Linked DNA regions of Stegostoma tigrinum. The protein of the gene in region 2 purifies or fractionates together with the protein of the main gene of each other region. This does not show direct contact. Links are inferred from orthologs where the notes say so. Each region holds a gene or a part of one and is shown on either strand. Other genes may lie near its edges.

The links. Proteins that work in one complex are often made in the same cells at the same time.
Region 1: the proteins of casein kinase I (region 2) and fam83d purify together in Homo sapiens (affinity purification with mass spectrometry; 4 studies listed by BioGRID and IntAct, counting the BioPlex papers as one, with this or other methods). This does not show direct contact. The link is inferred for Stegostoma tigrinum from reciprocal best matches to the Homo sapiens genes CSNK1D and FAM83D.

Annotation. Positions count from the first base shown.
Region 1 is NC_081372.1:13,694,251-13,705,358, forward strand, and holds the start of fam83d (protein FAM83D), read left to right. Parts: upstream 1-6,441; 5' UTR 6,442-6,958; coding exon 6,959-7,432; intron 7,433-11,108.
Region 2 is NC_081375.1:27,796,938-27,807,513, forward strand, and holds the start of casein kinase I, read right to left. Parts: upstream 4,950-10,576; 5' UTR 4,610-4,949; coding exon 4,534-4,609; intron 4,069-4,533; exon of another isoform or gene 3,747-4,068; intron 1-3,746. UniProt on the Homo sapiens protein: Essential serine/threonine-protein kinase that regulates diverse cellular growth and survival processes including Wnt signaling, DNA repair and circadian rhythms. It can phosphorylate a large number of proteins.

The DNA of each region.
Region 1 (11,108 bases), on a different chromosome or scaffold from region 2:
TTTTTTTCAGAAATGGGTCAATGTCATTGGTTTTTGGAGTCAGCAATGTGCGTACACAACTTGTGTTTTCACCTCTTTCTGCAGATTCTGCTTGTTTAGACTTTGGTTGTTGCATGTGCTTTTTATGCACTGGAGCAAGACCTAATTGTATTAAAATTGTGTATCATATGGAGCTGCCCAAAGCTTCTGTTAAAATAAAAACTGTACAATATATAGTTATATATATGTATAGATGTGCTGAATGTTGTTTATATTTTTATAAATGTCTATGTTACGTTTTATGCTTAATATTAAAAAGGATCAATCAGTGTAAATGACTCACATTTAACTTCAATTTAATCTGTTGTGGTTTCTCTCTCTTGTCAACTGCATATGCAAATCACAACCTGTCACTGGTTAGGTAACATGTATCACTCTCTTCTGGAGTTAATGTGAATAATCCCATTAGTAAGGTCTCTACCCTACCTTACCAGGTGTCAACTGCGCTAGTGACTTGGGCTGAAAAAGGAAGACATTGTTGGTTCTTGGATTTGGAATACCCTGGAAAAGCTGCAGTCTTTTTTTGTTTGCTTACTCCAGAAGGTGGTAAGCAGTTTTCCCAAGTAAAAGTCATTTGTAAGGCTAAATTGCTTACAAACATACAAACATATGTTACGAATTTAAGAACAGGAGCAGGAATAGGCCATTCAGCCCCTCTAGCTTGTTCAGCCATAAATAGGATTATGGTCATTCTGATTGTAACCTCAAATCGAGACTCCCACCTACCTCTAACTTTTCAAACCCTTGCTTGACCGGAATCTATCTGTGTCTGTCTTAAAAATCTTGAGGCTTGCTCGTTCATTTCAAAGACAGTTAAGAGTCAGCTGTACAGTGTAGACTGGAGTCATATGTAATCCAAAGCCAGATTGCCCTTCCAGATTCATTTGGTACTTTATGTTACTGAACATTTACAGTCATTTATTTTTGGCATGAGTCCACAAGTCCTGTGTTTGGCTGCTCTACTTTAAAGGAAGATATAAAGAAAAATGGATTTGCACTTGTATAACTCCCAATCAAGATGTCCAAAACATTACATCCAAAGAACCCTTTGTTAATGTCACAACATAGAATGGACAATAACATATTCATATGGTAGCTTAATGTAATAATGTGTTTCAAGGAAACATTTTGAAATAAAATCTGTCAGAAGGCAATACAAAGGAGACTTTAGCTCGTGGAACTAAAGGATTGGTCAAGGAGAAGTTTCAAGAGATTCTTAGAATACTAGGTACAAATTTTTGACCAGAGCAGACCTGATGACCTAAAGGGCTTCTTTCTGTGCTGTGGACTTCTATGACTTGTGGATGGAATGCTACAGGAGGTGCAAGGGAAAGGAGGTGTAGGAAAGATATTGCATGGAGTGGGACCAAGGGGAAAAGTGAGCCACTCATGGTAAAGCTATTAGAATTTCAGATGCTCAAAAGGCCAGAATGGGAAGGACACAGATATTTTGGAGGTTTGAGAGGTTATAGCTAGGGAGAGCCAAGGCAATGGAGGGATTTGAAAACTAGTCTGTTAGTTTTAAAATCAAGATATTTCTTGACTGGACGTGAATATAGTCAAGTGAACACAGAAGTTATAGCTGACCTGGACAAGGAAGATAATTTGCCTCATTTAATCTTGGGAAGAAATATCTGGCCATGTACAATTAGGTGTTGACATGAATGGAGATCATCAGTCACCTATCTCTGAACATATGAAAATGATGAGCAGTATAATACCAGATAGTCCATCAAATGTGAACACTCATGATGGCCATTGCATCATGAGTAGAATTTGCAACTTCAGAGAGATTACTTTGGGAAAGGTAAAAATAGTACAGAAAAAAATATGGAGAACAAGTCAAGAAGTACACTGAAAGATTTCTCTCTGACACTCACTCAAGTGATTGAAATAAACTCGAGATGATGTGTGTACCTACTGCCTAAACTCCAAATATTATTTTCTGGAATAACAAAGTGTGAAGCTGGATGAACACGGCAGGCCAAGCAGCATCTCAGGAGCACAAAAGCTGACGTTTCGATGAAGGGTCTAGGCCCAAAACGTCAGCTTTTGTGCTCCTGAGATGCTACTTGGCCTGCTGTGTTCATCCAGCTTCACACTTTGTTATCTTGGATCCTCCAGCAGCTGCAGTTCCCATTATCTCTGATCATTATTTTCTGGGACTGTTTTGTGGACAGTACATTGGCACAAGGTTTTAACCAATTTAGTTCTTCCCTGTTTATTTTCATCCTGTTCGTGAAACTGTGTCAGAGCTTAACACTAACTCTGGTGAGTAAGTAACCCACCTTTGTGCAACATTTTGAGGAATGAATATTTGTTCCCACCTCAACTTCCCCCTTCAAGATGGGAGGCAATGCACTAAATGCTCTGTAACCTCTGTCATGGATATAAGTAGGTAAGTGTGGTTTGGGGGCAACACAGCATCTCAGGCAAGGGGTGAGACAAATCTTGCAGCAATAGGCTTATGTATGCAACCCAGAGAGGAATGGAAATAATAAATCAACAATCCTTTCCCTTTCTAATAATCCAGTTGTCAAATAATAGTTTATTGTGTCATTAAAGTATCACCTAGAATGATAAAAGCAGCAGGTACATAGGAGTGCCACCATCTGCAAGTTCTTCTCCAAGATCCACATCATCCTGACTTAGAAACGCAGCAACAGGAGAAGGACATGTCAAGCCCACTGCACCATTTAATGTGATAATAGTTAATCAAATACTTCAATGCCTTTTACCCACAATGTCCCCATAACCCTGCATACCACTCATGTCTATCTCCCTCATTCCTTCAAACTCAAGAGAATACAGGCCCAATTTGTCCAGTGTCTCTCAGTCAGACAGTCCTGCCATCCCAGGAACAAGTCTGCTGTACTCCTATTGCATTCTCTCTCTCTGCCAATGATATCCTCCCTCCGATAAGGAGACCAAAACTGCACACAGTATACCAGGTGCAGTCAGATCAAGCTTCTCTACAATTCTATACAATTGAAGTGAGACTTTACTACTGCTGTATGCAAATTCTCTTGCAATAGGTCTGCCATTTCATTAGCATTCCTAAAGGTTTGCTGTACCTGCATGTTAGCCTTCAGTGACATATTGATAAGGACACCTACTACCAGACAAAGGTCCCTTTGTACATCTACACTTTCTAACCTTATTATTTAAAAAATATTCTGCGCATCTGATCCTCCTACTAAAGTGGATAATCTTACAGTTTTATTATGTTGAGGTGATGGCCTAGTGCTATTATTGCTCGAATATTAATTTGGAACCCCAAGTAATATTTGGGGGACCTGGGTTCAAACTCTGCCAAGGCAGATAGTGGAATTTGGATTCAATAAAAATCTGGAATTTAGAACTCTAATGATGACCATGTTAGGGGAAAGCCCCATCTGATTTGTGAATGACCTTTAGGGAAAAGAAACTGCTTTCTTAGGCTGGCCTACATGTGACTCCAGACCTGCAGCAATGTAGTTGACTCTTGACTGCTCTCAGCAATTAGAGATGGGCAATAAATGCTGGCCATGTCAGTGGTGCCTACATCCCATGAATAAAAGGGGAAAAATATATATACTCTCTCAGCCATGCTCTTGCCCAGCCACTGCTTTACATCTTCACAACACACTATCCCACTTATCTCTGTATTATCTGAACATTTGGGAATATTACATTTGGTTACCACGTCCAAATCACATATATACTTCGAGCAGCTGGGACACAAGTACAGATCCTGGGAGTACCCCACTAATCAGAGTCTGCCAACATGACCATTCTAGAGTTTTATTTCTGTTAAATCCATCCATAATTAATGTGGATGGACATTTTGGTTGGCATGGACCAGTTTGAGCTGAAGGGCCTTTCTCTGTGCTGTAGGACTCTATGACTCTTCTGTCATGTTTTAAGTCTAATTGCCGAGCGAATATTTTTGTGCAGATGTTTGATTTCTCATTTCTCTGCGTCATCTAGGTCGGGCAATTGTCTTGATCTACACCTGACCACGTTAGATGTCAGTGATAATGGGAACTGCAGATGCTGGAGAATCCAAGACAACAAAATGTGAGGCTGGATGAACACAGCAGGCCAAGCAGCATCTCAGGATGAAGGGTCTCGGCCCGAAACATCAGCTTTTGTGCTCCTGAGATGCTGCTTGGCCTGCTGTGTTCATCCAGCCTCACATTTTGTTGTCACGTTAGATGTCTGCTCCTTTCGGCACTGCAGCAACTCCGGGGGGAGGGGGGGATCTTTGTCAATCACTTCTTGGACAATTTAGAAATGTGGTAGGGAAGTTTGATGACCTTTATTGTCTTCTCACAATGGTGAAATGAATCAAAGTCACAATGTTTACAGTTAAATTTGATTATATTTTGTTCAGTATAAATGAGAGTTGTTGCATTTTGGTATCTGGAGGGCATTGTTAAGTGCAGCAGTGTTATTTTTTATGCTTTGGACTTAAGTGTAACTTACATATAATTCATCCATGGCCTTTCTGGTAAGTGGCGCGTCTGGGAGTGCGTGCCCTGTCTCGGCTCCATTCCGTTGTGGTGGTCGGTCTGCGGGATGGTCTTTGATGTCTGGCTGGCTATCCCCCTTTCCCTTTCCAGTGGATTCCTGTATGCATTTCGTTTCGCGGGGGGGGGGGGGGGGGGTTATGGGCACTGAGTTGACTCGGCGGCAGGGTATTGCGGAGGCTGGAAGGTGTTGGACCGAAGGCAGAGGGTGCTGAAGTTGTTCGGCGGGTTTGTGGTGAAGCAGCGTTGACGTTTTGCATTTCTTCGGTACTAAAGGAAGAGATGGAAGTGTGGTAGGCTGTATACAGGGAAAAAGGTGGGACAGAAGGAAGGCCCCAGAATGATGGAAGGTGGAGATCATAGTTGTCACAGAAAACAGAGCAAAGGGAGATGTGATAATTATATAGATGAGAGATAACATATGGATGGGGTAGTGTAGGGGGAGGGGCTTAGATTAGTTCACAGGTCGGTGCAACATCGACGGCCGAAGGGCCTGTTCTGCGCTCTATTGTTCTATGTTCTTGGTTCTAAAATCCATGACAATACATCACCTCCTATCCCAAGTAATTTTCAATTTAGCTAACCAATCTCCTGTCTGAGACCTTACCAAAAGCCTTCTGAAAATCCCAGTATACTACTGCTTTTGATTCCCCTTTATCAGTTTTGTGAGAGCGTCCTCAACTCCAAATTGGAACTATTTTGCCATTCCTTCACTATCACAAAATCCGAGAAATCTCTTCTACAGCGCTGCGGGTGGCCCTCCAACGCAATGCTTGTGATGGTTGAGGGAAGTGGCTCAGCAGCACTTTTTTTTCTAGCGTAATCAGGAACCAGCAATAAAGCAAAGCCCAAATTCCCTTAATGAATTTAAGAAAACTGACCTCGGCGTAGTACAATATATATTAGGTATGCAAATACTGCCCACTCTGCTGGGGAGATTTCCTCACGTAACCTCCAATGACCCACCCCCACACTCTTGCTATTGGCCTATTGTCCAGGAGCACCGACTTTCGACAGCCAATTGGAGACTTTCTGAGCCAATTGGTTGTTTAACTTTAACTGTTTCACTAGCTCCCAACCATGCAACCATCTTGTTAGCAAATAAACTTGAAAATGTCTGTGGGGTCGCATTAGCAGTGTCCTCTTGAGCCAGGCTTCAAGACCCACCTGTTCTACAGATGTATGTCTGAACAGGTTGTTTAAAAAAATCCCTACCTCTGGACTATCAGCCATAGAAGTCGTCATTGGACAAGCATATGGACGTACATGGAATAGTTAAGTTAGATGGGCTTAAGATGGGTATGACAGGTCGGCACAACATCGCGGGCCAAAGGGCCTGTACTGTGCTGTAATGTTCTATGTTCTATGTTCTATAACATGTCTAAACAGGTTTAAAAAAAAGTGATTGTGCACCTATTCAAAGAAAATGAATAATAAGTTTCATTAAAATCACTGTGGATAATCGCCAGCAGATGATTTTCTATCCCTGGCCAATCCTGGAGGGTTGGTGATATCAATTTTATAAACAAAGAAATTTCTGACAGAGATAGTAGGAGCTGCCGATGCTGGAGAATCTGATATAACAAGGTGTAGAGCTGGATGAACACAGCAGGCCAAGCAGCATCAGAGGAGCAGGAAAGCTGACGTTTCAGGTCTAGACGCCTCCTCTGATGCTGAGATAATAAAATGTGAGGCTGGATGAACACAGCAGGCCAAGCAGCATCTCAGGAGCACAAAAGCTGACGTTTCGGGCCTAGACCCTTCATCAGTCTCTGGTTGGATCAGACATGAAAGTACAAGTTTGCAAAGGAGTGATGATTCTCTGTGTGTGTGTGTGTGAAAACAGACTGTCAGTGAGTGGGCGGAGCTTTCCCAGCTGTTTTTGGATGAATTTAAACCTGTAGCCAATCGCGATGGGGCTGTTGTCAAAATCCGTTAAAGAGTAAAAAGTAAGGGAGAGTCCTGAGCTGGTGGGATTGGGAGAAGTAACCGGGAGACTGGTTAGACAGCTCTCGCAGCAGCCAATCGCTTCTCGTAGTCTGTGTTTGAATGGACTGTTGGTGAATTTCAATCGTGGGGAACGGGAAGAAAATATACGGCGAGTCAAGGAGCGCGGCTGCTTTTGTAACAAGGGATTTTCGAGACTCGTCAAGGAAGACTCTAAACTTCTGTCTGTGCAAAACTAATTCTGGGCGTGCAAGCCGGCAGAAGCCCCCCCCCCCCCAATTCTGGGCGTGCAAGCCGGCAGAAGCCCCCCCTCCCAAATTCTGGGCGTGCAAGCCGGCAGAAGAACCCCCCCAAATTCTGGGCGTGCAAGCCGGCAGAAGACCCCCTGTCCCTGGAGTGAAGGGAGCGGTGAAAGCAGGCTCTGGGTCTGAAATCTCCAGCTTTACCTGGGACCCTGGACCATGAATGATTCCCAGTGCCTCGATGACCTGCCGATCGTGTCCAGGTGGTGTGGTGCTGCCAGGCAGGAGCTGGGACTGAGAGAGTTTTATAGCGAGACCCAGCGCCTGGCTTTGGAAGAGCTGATCTCCGGCGGCGAGGAGGCTTACAGCGCCTTACTAAAGAGAGAGAGAGTCCAGGGCTTCCTGTCGGCCGATGAGATCGCCAGCATCCTGCAATCCACCATCAGCCCCCCTGGGCTAGACAGCCAGCCACTCGAGCAATCCTTCACCTGCTCCAGTGACCTAAGCTCGGGGACCTATTTCCCCGATGCCTCGGACATTGAGGTGCCGGTTCTGGACATTGGGTGGCCGGTGTATCCGAGCAACTGGTACCGGGGTGTGACCCAGGTGGAGGTGTATTTCCAGCCCAGCTATGGGGAGCTCATCTACAGCTGCAAGGAGGCGATCAGGAAGCTCATCAGAAAGGCAGAGAAGGTAGGTTAGGGGGAATATGATTAACCTGGTACTTTCCATACCCGCCCCTTGCGCGGATTTGTTTTTCATTTTGGACGTTTCATTTCAATCTAGATTCTCTTGTATGTTGAATATTTAATACATGTTAAATGCCAAAGATAGAAACTTACTTTTTCCAAAATACAGAGCTATATTTTAACAGAGTTAATCTAGCCAGTGGAAGGAAAGGTTGAGTGACTGGAAACAGCCAGCAGTGTTGTTTGGATGGTAGAATGGATACGGTGGAGTTCCCCAGGGTTCGGTTTCAGCACTTTCTTTGTTCTATATTAAGACCTTTGTGCAAAAGACTGTCAGATACAGCGTAAAATTAGAACTCTCCAGTCCTGTAATGATTAGGATTTCTTGCTGTTACCATTACACCCAGGGTTGGATTCTTGTCCAGGCAATGATTCCCCACAGTTTACACAAAGTCTTTGTGTAATGTCACTGCCCTTGTAATACAGACCTTGCACACTCAGGATTAAATAGATCCCAAGCCCATCACAGCAGCTGGGAGCAATTCAAAACCAGTGGCTAAATCTGAAAATATGAAGCAATGTTTAATGTAACAGTGACCGCTCCATGGTCATCCGTCCATTGGAAAAGCCTTCTTGTTTTGGCCTACATGCAATGAGGCTGAATCTGAAATTTCAAGCCGTTCAGTTCAAGGGGAATTTGTGGTAGGAAAATAATGCAAGCCTTAACACAGGGTCTCACATCCCCTTCGAAGAATAAAGAGGGGAAAATGTTCAAAGACAATTAAAGCTAAATGCCAGGAACAACTTGGCCATAGCCTGAGAGTTGAGGCCAGACAGTTTGAGAGATGTTAAGAACCACCTCTACACAACCAGGGTGTCAAAGGTTTGGAGCTCTCTTCGACAAATAGCAGTGGATGCTGGATCAGCTAATTTTAAAACTGAGATAGATATGTTTTTGGTAAGTAAGGGGATGTGGTCTAAAGACAGTTATAGGGAGTTAAGTCAGACATTGGCTGCTATCTCATTGAATTCTGGAACAAACTCAAAGGGTTGAATGGCCTACTCCTGTTTCTATGTTCCTATAAGCTTTTTTTTGCACTGTATAATATTCCAAGAGGTTCAGAATCAAGCCTGAAATTTCTTCAGAAGGTAAATATTTGGGAAACATTTGTACTGAGATTACTAATAAATGTGAGGAATTTATATGATGGCGATAGAACTGTTCTGGTTGATAATATATTGGTTCTAGAGTGGGACAAATAAGCCACTCCTGCTGATCTGTTCTATTTGTTTCATGAAAAATTTGTTTTCACTAGTAGCTTGGGTACTGTGATTTATTGTCTGTGCATTTAGACGTAGTAAGATTGCAGTGAAAACATGTAAAGACAGTGAAAGGCTGACCTGTTATTCAGTGCCCTGATTAATTGATGACCGTCTTGAGGTGCAGTGGTAGTGTCACTATCCTTGGACTGAGGGGCCCAGGTTCTAGTCCCACCTGCTCCAAAGGTATGCAATAACCTTTCTGAACAGATGGTTTCGAAAAATAGGTTAATTGATGGTCCAACAGATCCTGTTGTGCACAACAAGGTCAGAACTAAATTTTGTTGCTGACCTAGAAACTATTGTTCATTTAGTCATTTAACACCTGCAACGGAATAAGATAGGGCTCAGGTTTCTTGTTCACTGTGACTGCTTTTAATGTTTGCCCAAACCATGAGTTTTGGATGTTAGATGTTCAAATGATATTTGCATGTTTTTAAACACTGAAGTTAATTGTTCTGTGCCTCAGGCAGGATGAGTACAGACAGAAATTTTCTAACTAAAAAAAGTATAAAATTTTACAGATGCACGAAATCTAAAAAAGTAAAGAATGCACAAAGGGAGTGCTGATAAGTTATGCCGTACTTTTTTTTAGAGGGAATAAATGATTTAACTATTGGTAGCACCCTCCCCTCTGAGCCAAAGAGCTGAGAGTTCAAACCAGGCTCAGAAAAATAAAGCACATAATCTAGGGCGATGTGCCCAGAGCAATACCAAGGGAGTACTGCATGTTCTAACACAGACTCAGCTGCCCCATTGGGTGGTTAAGGTCCCAAGGCACATTCTAAGAAGAGCTGGGGGTTTCTTCTCTGGTGTCCCTCTGCCTCAACCAGGACCTAATGCTATTATCTGATCATCACATTCTTGTTTGTGGGACCTAGTACAATAAAACAAAAATGAACTGCTTTTGGTTTTCCATGATATAGGATACTCTTAACTATGAAAGTAATCATTTAGCTGTAAGTTGGCTCAAAGTCAAATGTCTAGACTTCAAAATTTATGTCCTTATTTTCAAATCAATCCATTAATTTACCCTCCTGATCTCCGTTACCATGTACAGTCCCACAACCATCCAAGAAATCTGTGGTCTCCTGGCCTTTTGCACACTCCAAATCATAAGTCCACCAATGGTGGAGTAATTAACTTCCAATGCTTAGACTCCAAGCTCAGGTATCCTTCTCCACCTTGTTTTTTTTCTCCTCCTTTTTAAGATGCCCATTTAAAACCTACCTGTTTGATCAAGTTTTTGGTCTTCTTACCCACTATCTCTCTATGAGGCTTGTATCATAATTCTGTTTCATTAGGTCTCTCAGGATGTCTCAATACATTTTTTAAGACACTTAATGCAAATTGTAAAGAACTGAAGTCCGGAAAGAATGGTGGAAATGGCATTGCATTCATTCTTTAAAATGAACAGAATCCTGTAAGATGTCACAAAACAGTCTTGATTTGATCTGCTCTGGATGGTAAATTGACCCACCAAGGTAAGAAGGAGGAGTAGAAATGCTAGCTGATTTGATGGCAGTAACAAGAGGAGAAACACAATGCCCTTAACTTCCAGTTACTGGAATCTACTGTTGCTGCCTTGGAGATAGCCAGGTTGGTAGCAATAAATACGAGGCATGGTCTGGGTGTGTTTGGTATAGAGGTAATTCTGTCTGTGGAAATGTATTATAGTGCAGTGATTCACTCTTGTGCAATACATGCGCTGATGTACAAAGAGCAAAGCTTGTAGGGTTTTTGTCATGTGATCCTTCAAGATTGGATTACAACTCTATCACAAACCCATTATAAAATGTACATGTACATGTTGATCAGCTGCCTTTGGTGTACAATAACTTTGGGCTGGAATGTCAGTGTTTTAACTTCTTTGGCTCTCTCCTGTGCCTAAATCAAATGAAGTAGGGACAGGAGGTGGTTGTTCAGCCCCTAGAACTTGCTCTGTCATTCAATCAGGGTTGATCTTACATTCCTCATGCCCCATTTCCTGCCCTTTCCTCATAATCCTTGATTTCCCCTAATGGCACGTGTGATAATAAAGCTAATTCAGTTTCAAAGAAGCAGATAAAGCATATGCTTCTATCTGTTTCCATAGCTAGTTTCTCCTGGAACAAGCTGTCAGCCCATCACCAGGGGTTATGGCTTGAGTTGCACCACTCCTGGATCAAGTACAGCTGTCCAGGACACTCTTGCCATCTGCCATTGGCGTACGGCTAGAAATAATATTGGCTGTACTACGTATGCGCTTTCCTTAGCCACCAAATCCTCGAGTGGGACTTGAACTTAAAGTTTCTGGTTCAGAGTCAGTGCTACAACTTACTGCAAGAGTTCCCATTTGGTTCTTTCAGATAGTGTTTTCT
Region 2 (10,576 bases):
TGCCAATATCCAGGATAGCAATTTTATACAGCAGGAGGGTGTAGCGCTTCTATAATTCTTTCGGGTTCTGAGGATGTCAAAGTGCAGAAACGTAATTGCATCAACATAGAAACTCTTCAGAACTATGAATGATCTTCAAAAGCTCCAAACACTTTGCATCACTTGTACTCATTACTCTCTGGGATGCTTGTTAAACAAATGAAAGCCTCCCACCCACATACATCTGGAGAGGTGGCCTTCCCATTTGTCCAACAAAGGAACTTTGTTTGCAGATAAGCACACACTTTACCAAAGAAAGCAACTGTCACTTAACTTCTCCCCTTTCTAATCACATCTGCCATCTATTGCTAGTGTAGCAATTTCGGGGGAACTTTGTCCCATCCCTCCCCATAAGAAGACTCGAAGTTAGACGCCTTTTCCCACCCAATTCCAAGTTGTGCAGGGTCTCATCTGTCAAGTGATTTCAGGTCACAACATCAGCTTCACACACTGCTGTTCTCAAAAAAGGAAATTGGGGCATTTAAAAGGTGTCAGACAAAACACATGCCACAAATCACCTCTAAGTATAAACAAACATACTTGAAACATTTCACACCGCAGCTTCGTGGGTCAAACAATCTAACAGAAAATTCAAATCACGTTTAAAGCTGTGCATTATTCTATACCTGCTATATTAGCTGTGTTGTTTTCAGGAAATAATTTAGTTGACTGACTTCTATTTCAGGCTATCCCAAATCTTCAATAAATTCAGAATGTAGTCTTTTCAGTTAACATTTTACAGAAAGACCACAATCAACAGAATGGAAAATCTGATGCCAAAGGAGGTTACAGAGTGGCAAAGGACACGTCCAGAAAGGGTTCTAAGATAAGGGCAAGAATTTAACATTTTAGATGCTGGCAGATTGGAAATTAATAACCCACAATCAGAATTATGGGAAAAAACATCAAACTCCTATGCATAATTAGGGATGCAAAATTCAAATACTGGTAAAACAAAAATGGGAGGCCATGAGCACAACTCTGCCTCTTGAACCACTGGAGTCATATTGTATGGTTGTGGCAAAACATCTGGTAAGTGTGAACCAAGTTCAAGTTCCAAGATCAAATGAAAGGCAATCTTACCCAGATGAGACATAAGGCAGTAAATCAGAGTTCTCTGACTTAGTGATTTTGCGCTAAAACTGCTAAGTGGGGCTAATTAGGATCAACTAAAAGCAAGTACTGGACATGCTGGAGAGCTGAAATAAAAACAGAAAGCAGAAGTCCAATATGACTCAAAACATTAACTGTGTTTCTCTCCAGAGATGCTGACAAACTGCCTAGGTTTTTTCTAGCACTTTCTGATCTTATTTCCAATGAGGTTCAAGTTTGCTTGAACAAATCTCCCAACATTCTCGGAAGGGGAGCAACAGGTTGTAAACAATTCCTTCATTTTACTAAATAAATGGATCAAAACTTCACCCCTACTTGAGCAAATATTCTGGAAGATCAATTTTACTTATGAAAGCTCACAATCTCATTTTGTTTTTGTTCTGAAGTTGCTCACTTTATTTACTGCACATAAAAGACAAAACAACTTCAAGAAGAAGTATATTTTTTAATGACCAGATGGCACAAGACTGTCAGTCACATTCAAATGATATTAAAGGGTGCTGTTACATATCAGCCGGACTGAGTTCAGAATTTAAATAGGACTTGAGGAGTACTTCTGCTTTTGAGGTCAATCTACCAAGTACAACAGTTTACTTCCAAACAATAAAGAAAATTGAAAATAAAAACAAAAAACAAAGCACTTTGATAGTCAATGATATTTGAATCGTCAGTGGGAACTAACCAGGTCTTTTAAAACACATTTCATCAACAAAAACTAGTTCTTGCCCATTCTCTAAGGCCATCTGAACAGTGTTTTATAAAACAAATTACACAATACAGCTTCAGGACAAAGAAACAAAGGAATCAAGGCCTTGAGGGGGAGGGGGAAGTGACAGGCAAAGCACAAGTCACGACAAAAGAGAGAATCCAACCAAGAATATACTGAAAATTGGTTCCTAAAACACTGCTTTTTAAAGTATATTTCAATCACAAAAGAAACACAGTTTCACAGGAATTTTACACTGAATTTTGACTAAAAAGAGATATTTAGGAATGATCTGGGCTGCCATTTAAACAAGCAGAGACTTCCCCCACTGAAGGACTAAGATTGTAGAATATAGTGACACGAATATACGAGGCCATGCAACATATACTCCTGGTATAAGGGAGCAAGTAGGGAGAAAAATGGCAAAAGACAGTGTGTCACAGCAAGCAAAGACATCATTAGTCCTTAAAATACTAAAAAGGAAATCAAGATCAAAGCAATCAGAACCTCTAGCAAGGTGCAAACAGTGCAGCAGTTGACCCTAAGTACGACCGTTATAAAATTCACTAAATTGGAGTTCTCCTTTTATTATTAAAGGAAAAATTGATTCCACAATATTTTACAGTTTGTTCACTGAGCTCTCATTTTGGCCTGGAGCATATCTGCGTAAAAGTGCGTGATTCATTTCCTGAAACGACACAAACCTTAATCATTGTTCATAAACAGGACTAGCCAAAATTTGGAAACAGTTTTAATGTGAATTTAGGAAGAGGCATACAGTACCGCAGAAAGAAATCAGAGAAAATGTAAAAATATGGTGTTCATGAAAATTCACCCCACATCACCTCACTCATTTTCAGGGCAGGATGATTTCAGTGCAGTGACAGCAATTGTAAAATAGGAAAAAAAGTGCCTGGAAAGTCTCACTATCAGAACAAGGGCTTTCAGCGGTAGGAGAGTAGTTCTGGAAAATTACCAATTCCAAGGTTCTTCTTAGCACTCTAAGAGGCAACACTATCACTGCATTTATGTTACAGCAGTACAAGGGAAGTCACAGTAGCTATCTAGAACGGCATCCAGTGAAAGAAGATACTTTTACACATCAACATGCTTCTTGATTTATTTTAGAATATTTAAAACCCATAACTGATTAATTTCCCCCTAAAAGTTGATACAAATTTTGTTAACGTTGAAATTAGCATAACACATTTAGGACTTAAGAATCAACATTCATTGTAGGAGTGAAACTGATAAGACAGTGACTCTACTAACATTGGTATAATTATTGAAAATATTTAATTGCTGTTCCACTACTGTTTTCGTTGTCGGGCTAACTGCTACTGATGGTATACAAAACAATTATTTTAATTATCACAAATAGTCGAATGGATATCAGTTTGCGCAGTTCTGTTGGTTTGCACAGCTGATTGGTTCAACATAAAGGTTAAGCTCTCCCACATGGAAGCAAGTTGCTATTTTAAAATACAGTGATAAAAAACATCCGATGCTGGAAAATACAGACCATCAGCATCTGCGGTATTTTGCTTTTGTGTTAAAAGACTTCATCCTTTTCAAATATTTAACTTTCATTATCTTCCATTCCAATGATGGACTCAATTTAATAAAAGATCAAACTGATTCAAGCAAGAATTGAAAACAACCAAATCTTAGAAACCTCATATGCAATTGTTACTCCAACTGTTGTCAGTGCATTTCGAGAAGCACACAGTCAAGATGTTGACACCAGGTTTTCTGCTGACAATGAAAAGGCTGGATTTTGGAAATGAACGATCTATACACTGGAAATGTGATGCTAACTGTGCTTTAAGATGACACTGACAGCAGTCCGATATGCGGAAGCCCATCATCATAAATTCAAGTTACAAACCTGTTACGGCTCATCCACATGTATTTGCTCCTTGATGCTCCACATTTAAATGATTAATTGCTTTTTCATAAACAGATTTACAGATAAATTACACTCCCTAACTCCAACCAAAGGGCAATCACTCTTGCTTGTATGAAAACAATGGATATTCCCAGATCCTGTTTAACGATTTTCACCAGAAACATGTCCGATTGTTTACCAACCTCCCACAATTCACTACTTTAGCACTAACAAAACAATTACTTTGAAGCATCCCTTCAACATACAGCACTATAACACCACTTGGTAACTGACAATTTGTTTTACATTCACATTACTGAGAAACATTGAAGATTTCAACCACTTCCTCTCAGATTTCCCACAGCTTGTATTTCCCAGGAGCATTACTTCATAGATCAGCTGTGGTTTTGTTTTAAAAGAAACAGCTTCGCTGGTTACGCTTCTCGTTCATGATTTCTTTGTTGCTGGGTTGAAATGACTGATATCCTATCCTTTGATTGATGGAACAGTCCATCTGTTCTGGTGAAATGAACCCTGGACATTATCTAACAGTCAGCTCTTTCCATATGTGATTCCTGAGAATCATAATCTTCCCAAGGAGCATCTTGTGGATATGGAGATTGACTATGTGAATGACAGCTTTTCTTTCTTAACTATTACCGTGTTCTTTTCCACGGGGGCCAGTGACACAAGACTAAATATGTTGCTCACACTATTTTTCAGCCGTGCTGTTATGAAGACTATTCTATCTCTTATTTTGTTCCTAAAATCCACTCTCAGTTCTTACCCAGGTATATGTCTCCGAAGGACCCGCTGCCGATTTTCCTGCCGAGTCGGTACCTGTTTCCCACTCTGAGTTCCATGGTGGGTTTCGCCTGGTGCCCACTGTGTGAGTTTGATTTTAACCCGGGTTACTCAGAGAAACTCTATTTCTCTCCCTCTGTGTGTGTGTGTGTCTGTCTGTTCTCAGTCTCTCTCACAGAGGGATTTTCACCAACACTTTTCTCGCTTCTTTCCAAATGCACCCCGACAATATCCACACCAGACGACACGTTAAACGCCGTAGATTATGCTCCACCAAATTTTATTGTCATTCTGGCCGCCTGCACGCAGGATTACATCGGATTCGAGTGACTCTCTCTCCTTTCTCCTTCCTCGGCTCTAGCTCGCCATTGCCGGACTGCGAACGGTCTGACATCACATCCGTTGTGTGACGTCACTGGACAGGGTGGTGCGACTGTCGGTGACGCCATACACATTGAGTTCCTGCAGTGGGAATCATCCTAATGTCCTCCTCTGTACACCTACAGAGAAAGCTAATGCCCCATTGCTTAATATTAACAGGCAATAGTTTTCAAGTAAGTGCATTTACCAATTGGTAATGACAGACAATTGCCCCTTGTATGGGTCATAAAGCTGTTGCCTTGACAAAGCAGATGTAAATATTGAAGTCTTAAATAAATTTTGCCCCATGGTGTATAAAAGTAGAAGTGATTATCCAACAGGGGAAAACAAACAAAAAAAACACTTTTTCCACATCTGATATTTTACATTTTATTCCACACCCACAAGGAAAATCCAATTTAATGTGAATGATGCATACTGTTTGAGTCATCTGGAATACTTAAACATGGAATTTCCTTCAGTATGAGCAGTTACTTCATTTCCAAGTATTTTACTGGTTTTGTCCTTGTACTTTAGCACATCAATAAATAAACCATATAACTCTGCAGAGATAGCTAGAACTGCAGATGCTGGAGTCAAAGACAACAGTGTGGAGCTGGAGGAACACAGCAGGCCAGGCAGTATTAGAGGAGCAGGAAAGTTGACTTTTCAGGTTGGAACCCTTCTGCTGCTCGTCTGATGTTGCCTGGTCTGCTGTGTTCCTCTAGCTCCACACTGTTGTCTCACATAACTCTGCAATTATTTTAGGATATATTATCATAAAGGCATAAGACAACTTGGAATAAGAACCAACCATTCTTTCCAGCTTTACAAATGAGTGCTTGTACATAATTCTCAAAAAGGTACCAGGCAGGTTCTGCAAGTAGTCAGGAAGGCAAATAGAATGTTTTTCATTGCAAAGGGGATAGAGTATATAAGTAGGGAAGTCTTGTGATAATTGTACAGAGCAGTGAAATTGCACAGGGAGTGGTGAGTATAGTTTTGGGCTGCTTACTGAAGATGGACACTTTGAAAATAATTCAGAGATGGTTAACTGGACCGATTTCTTTAATAAAGACATGTTGGAGAACATTCCTCCATCTACATCAACAGAGCAGAGGTCAAGAGGGTTGAGAGCGTCAAGTTCCTGGGAGTGATGATAACTGCCAACCTGTCCTGAACTTCCCACTTGGATGCAATGGCCAAGAAGGCACAACAACACCTATTCTTCCTCCGATAGCTTAGGAAATTTAGCATGTCTGTAAGGACCCTTAACAACTTTTATGGATGCACCATAGAAAGCATACTATCCAGGTGCATAACGGCCTGGTATGACAACTGCTCTGCCTACAGAAGATGGTGTGTGCAGCCCAGACCATCACAGAAGCCAACCTTCCATCTATGGAGATAACAAAGTGTGGAGCTGGAAGAAAACAAGCAGGCCAAGCAGCCTGTTAGGAGCACAAAAGCTGATGTTTCAGGCCTAGACCCTCCATCGATGAATTCCATTTACACTGCTTGTTGCTGTGGACAGGCTGCTGACATCACCAAAGATCCCTCCAACCCAGGTAATGCTCTCTGACAACATCTTCTATCAGGTAGAAGATAGAGAAGCTTGAACACACATACCAACAGGTTCAGGAATAACTTCTTTCTTGCCATTATTATACAGATGAATAGGCTCTCTAACTTCAAATAATATTGACCTTACTTCATGCACCTCCTGTGGAGTGTAACTCTCTCTGTCCAAGCACCCTATGATCTGTATGTCTTTGCTTACTATTATCTGCCTGTACTGCTCGCAAACAGAGATTTTCACTGTATTTAGGTACATGTGACTACAGTAAATCAAATTATGAGGAAAGTTTGGACAGGTGAGCCAATACCATTTTGAATTTGGAAAAATGCAAGGCGATCTTGTTGAAAAATCCTGATGGGGTTTGAAAGGGATGAGAGATGATTCGCCTTGTGGAGTAATTTATAACTAGGCGCACAATTTAAAGGTAAGGTTATCCCAATTCAAACAGCAATGAGAAGGACTTTCTTTTCTCAGATGGTCATTAAACTCTGGAATTTGCTTTCACAGAGAGCTGGAGCACTAACTATATTCAAGTCTAAGTTAGATCAACAAGGAAGATAAGGATCATCAGAAGCAGGAAGAAAACTGGGCCACATTCAGATTAGCCGTGATCTTATGAATTGGGGAACTAGCTTGTTGGGCTGAATGGTCACTCATATTCCAATTTCTTATGATCTTTGCATCTGGCTACTCTATCAGGTCCTGTAAAAGTATTCTCCTAAGCAAAGATAACTGAAGGTTCATTTTAGTTCATCTATCATAGGTACGTTGGAATAAATTCTAAGTAAATCCATTTGGTTGTCGAAATTATACCAAGCAGCCTTGATAGTTGCCTTCTTGATTTAAACAGAATCTACTTATATTATGACCCAACTTTCTAATCCATCTTATTCTATTTTGAACAAAGTAATCATTCAGCCCTTGGCATCCTTGCCGATATTCCTTCCAGCTTATGTGTTCATTGGTCTGAGATTCCCACATGTCAGTAGAGATGTAGTGCTCCCTTTCCCCTCCAAGTGATAGCTTAACATTGCAGAGCTTAGAATACAAAAATTTATTTACAGAGTCTTTTGCCTAGTACGCAGACAATGCGGCCTGTCCATCACAGCTGGTCATGCGTGACTAGACTCTTGATACTGGGGATATTGGACTGGGGGAGGATACTCACATTGAAATACAGGAAGGTGGGGACCATGGTTACTCTACAGACCATGAGCTTGATGCTGGATTTCAGGCCTTGGACTTCAAACACTCTGTTCCTTAGGCACCCAGAGGCTGCACTAATGCATTAGAGTCGATGTTGGATTCTATCTTCAATATCTGCTTACACCAAGAAAAGGCTCCAAAGTTATGGGAAATGATCCTCACCATTCAGTGACTCGCTGTGGATTTTGATAGTTTGGGGACTATGATGTGTGACAGAAGTGGAATGGTAGAGAACCTTTGTTTTCTGTATGTTTAACCTGAGGCCCATTTTCTCACATACTTTGGTGAATGCATTGACCATGATTTGTAGCTCAGCCGCTGCGTGTGTCCACATGCGAGCATCGTCTATGTACCGCAGCTCGGTGACAGAAGTTGGGGTGGTCATGGTTCTGATTTGGAGTCATTGAAAGTTGAGCAGTTTCAAACTCATCCTATAGGTTGGCCACACTTGTCAAGGAGCTTCGTGGAGATGTGGTGGACTGTTGAGAAGACAAAAATGGAGAAAAGCATTGGTGCAATAACAGAGCTCTGTTTAACCCCAGGTGGCACTTGTATTGGATGAATGGTGTATCCATTTCTGAGGATCATGATCTGCATGTCATCATGAAGCAAGCAACAAATTTCTGCAGACAGCTGAATTTGATGAAGATATTCCACAATCCAACATGGTTGACTGAGTTGAAAGTCTTTGTGAGATCGAAGAGGACCATGTATAGAGGTTGGTGCTGTTTCCTGCACTGTTCTCGGATTTGCCACACGATTGTCGAACGGTGGGAAAACAATTATTTTTCATCTGAGGTTCATATTATTAACTTTATATTCATGTTTGCTAGGTATTTGCTTTCTTTTGAATGAAATTATTGGCTTGCATCCATATTCCTCTCAAGTTTTACCAAACTATGTCTTATCTCCTCCCATCCAAATTTTCTGGATTAGAATGATTTTGTGACACGCCCTAACTTGTTTTGTAATTATTGTATTATTTTATCTGGTGATTAGTAAAAAATTATGAAGACAGGAAATCATATTCATTGGATACCATGAACAAATAGACAATAAAGCTGAGAATTGTTGAGCCATCTTATTCTTTTAACACTGGTAATAGAAATCTCTCAATTGCCCAAATGATAAATTGGGCAGAAGAATCAAATCAATTAAATGCATAATTTTTATTAATATATAGTAATTTCTCTCAATGGAAGGAAAATATCAAGAAGATATGCAAATTGTAAAACAACAAACAAATACCATATTGCAATTTATGTTGCATTTAAACAAAATGTCAAGAAGAAGAGGTTGCCTGATGGGAAAGAAATAAGACATGATCAAGCCAGGACATGGTTATAATTGATTAAAATAACTGAAGGTTCAGAACATCCAAGATCAGGCAATGTCTTTCACCCTCACTCCTTTCAAGACCAGATGCTGGGCCTTCCACTCTCTTTCTAGGAAAGGCTCAACACCTTCCAACAGTTATGCTCCCAACCCTTTGCTTCCTTTCCCAAATTCTGTGGTATATTTGGTCTCTTTATTGCATTTTGTCCAGTTTTGACTTGTTTAAAATTTCTCAACCAGAAATGTGCTCAGCGGGCTTATGTTTGGTCTTCATTTTCTCTGTTTAGAAAAGTATCAGAACATTAGAGTATTTGTGGAAGTTTGATGGCTTTGTCCAATTGTGAACCATGATAAATTTTCAGTTTTCCTCTGGTTGACAGTATTGGCAGACTACTTTCTGAGAAAATGGGTTAATTGTAGGAAAGAAAATAACAAAAGGCAGTCATAGGTATGATGTAATTTGACATGTTGCTCAATTGAGGTAAATTTCTGATGAGAAAAGGAACATAAAATGTCACAAGAATCCAATACACATACATATAATTTTATGTTTATGGTAAATTGGTGAATATGGCTGTGTTTCATTTAATACCATATATTTTGCCAAAACATAACACACTCAACAAGTTTATACAATGTTACTAAGCTTATAGGGTCGATTAATTTCATGTTTTATGTATAAACAGTCAATTATATCTCAGCTGTCATTCAAAGTCACTTTTCCTTCATTGACATTTAAATTATGTCCTTAAGGTAGATTCACAGTTTGTGTAATTTTACTTTAAAATACCCTGAATACAGGCATTCCCTAGCTGAAGTTTGCTTTAATAGCTTTGAGTTCCTCTGATGTGTCAAGGAATATTATTGTAACTTTTCAACTACATTGTTGGGAGTAAAACAATTTATTTTTGCTTGCCACCACCAGAAATGCCATTTCTGATACTTTGATAACAAAGTGTGAAGCCGGATGAACACAACAGGCCAAGCAGCATCTCAGGAGCACAAAAGCTGATGTTTCGGGCCTAGACCCTTCATCAGAGAGCTCTCTGATAAAGGGTCTAGGCCCAAAACATCAGCTTTTGTGCTTCTCAGATGCTGCTCGGCCTGCTGTGTTCATCCAGCTCCACACTTTGTTATCTTGGATTCTCCAGCATCTGCAGTTCCCATTATCTCGGATACTTGGACCAGGCTTTGTCAATTAGTGCCAGGTGAGGTGGTGTTCCATGGCTTTGTGTCCATGATCACTTTGCATCATCACTACCCTCCTGGCCCTTTAATAAACTGATGCCCTAGTCAAGGCAGCAGCACCTCCCAACATGGTTGCCACCTCTGTTTGTCACTGGCACCAGACAGGCTGTTCCCACATTCCAGATCTGCTTGGCACCTCTAATTGAGCACTGAGCTCACCTCCTCTCCAATCAGTCTGTTTACATTTAAAAACAGCATCAGGCACACAGGCAGGACCAGAAATTCACCAACTTGTCAGGGGTTTGCTGATTCTATTTTGAAAATTCAGCTTGGGGGCTCATAAATCTGTTAATAGGGA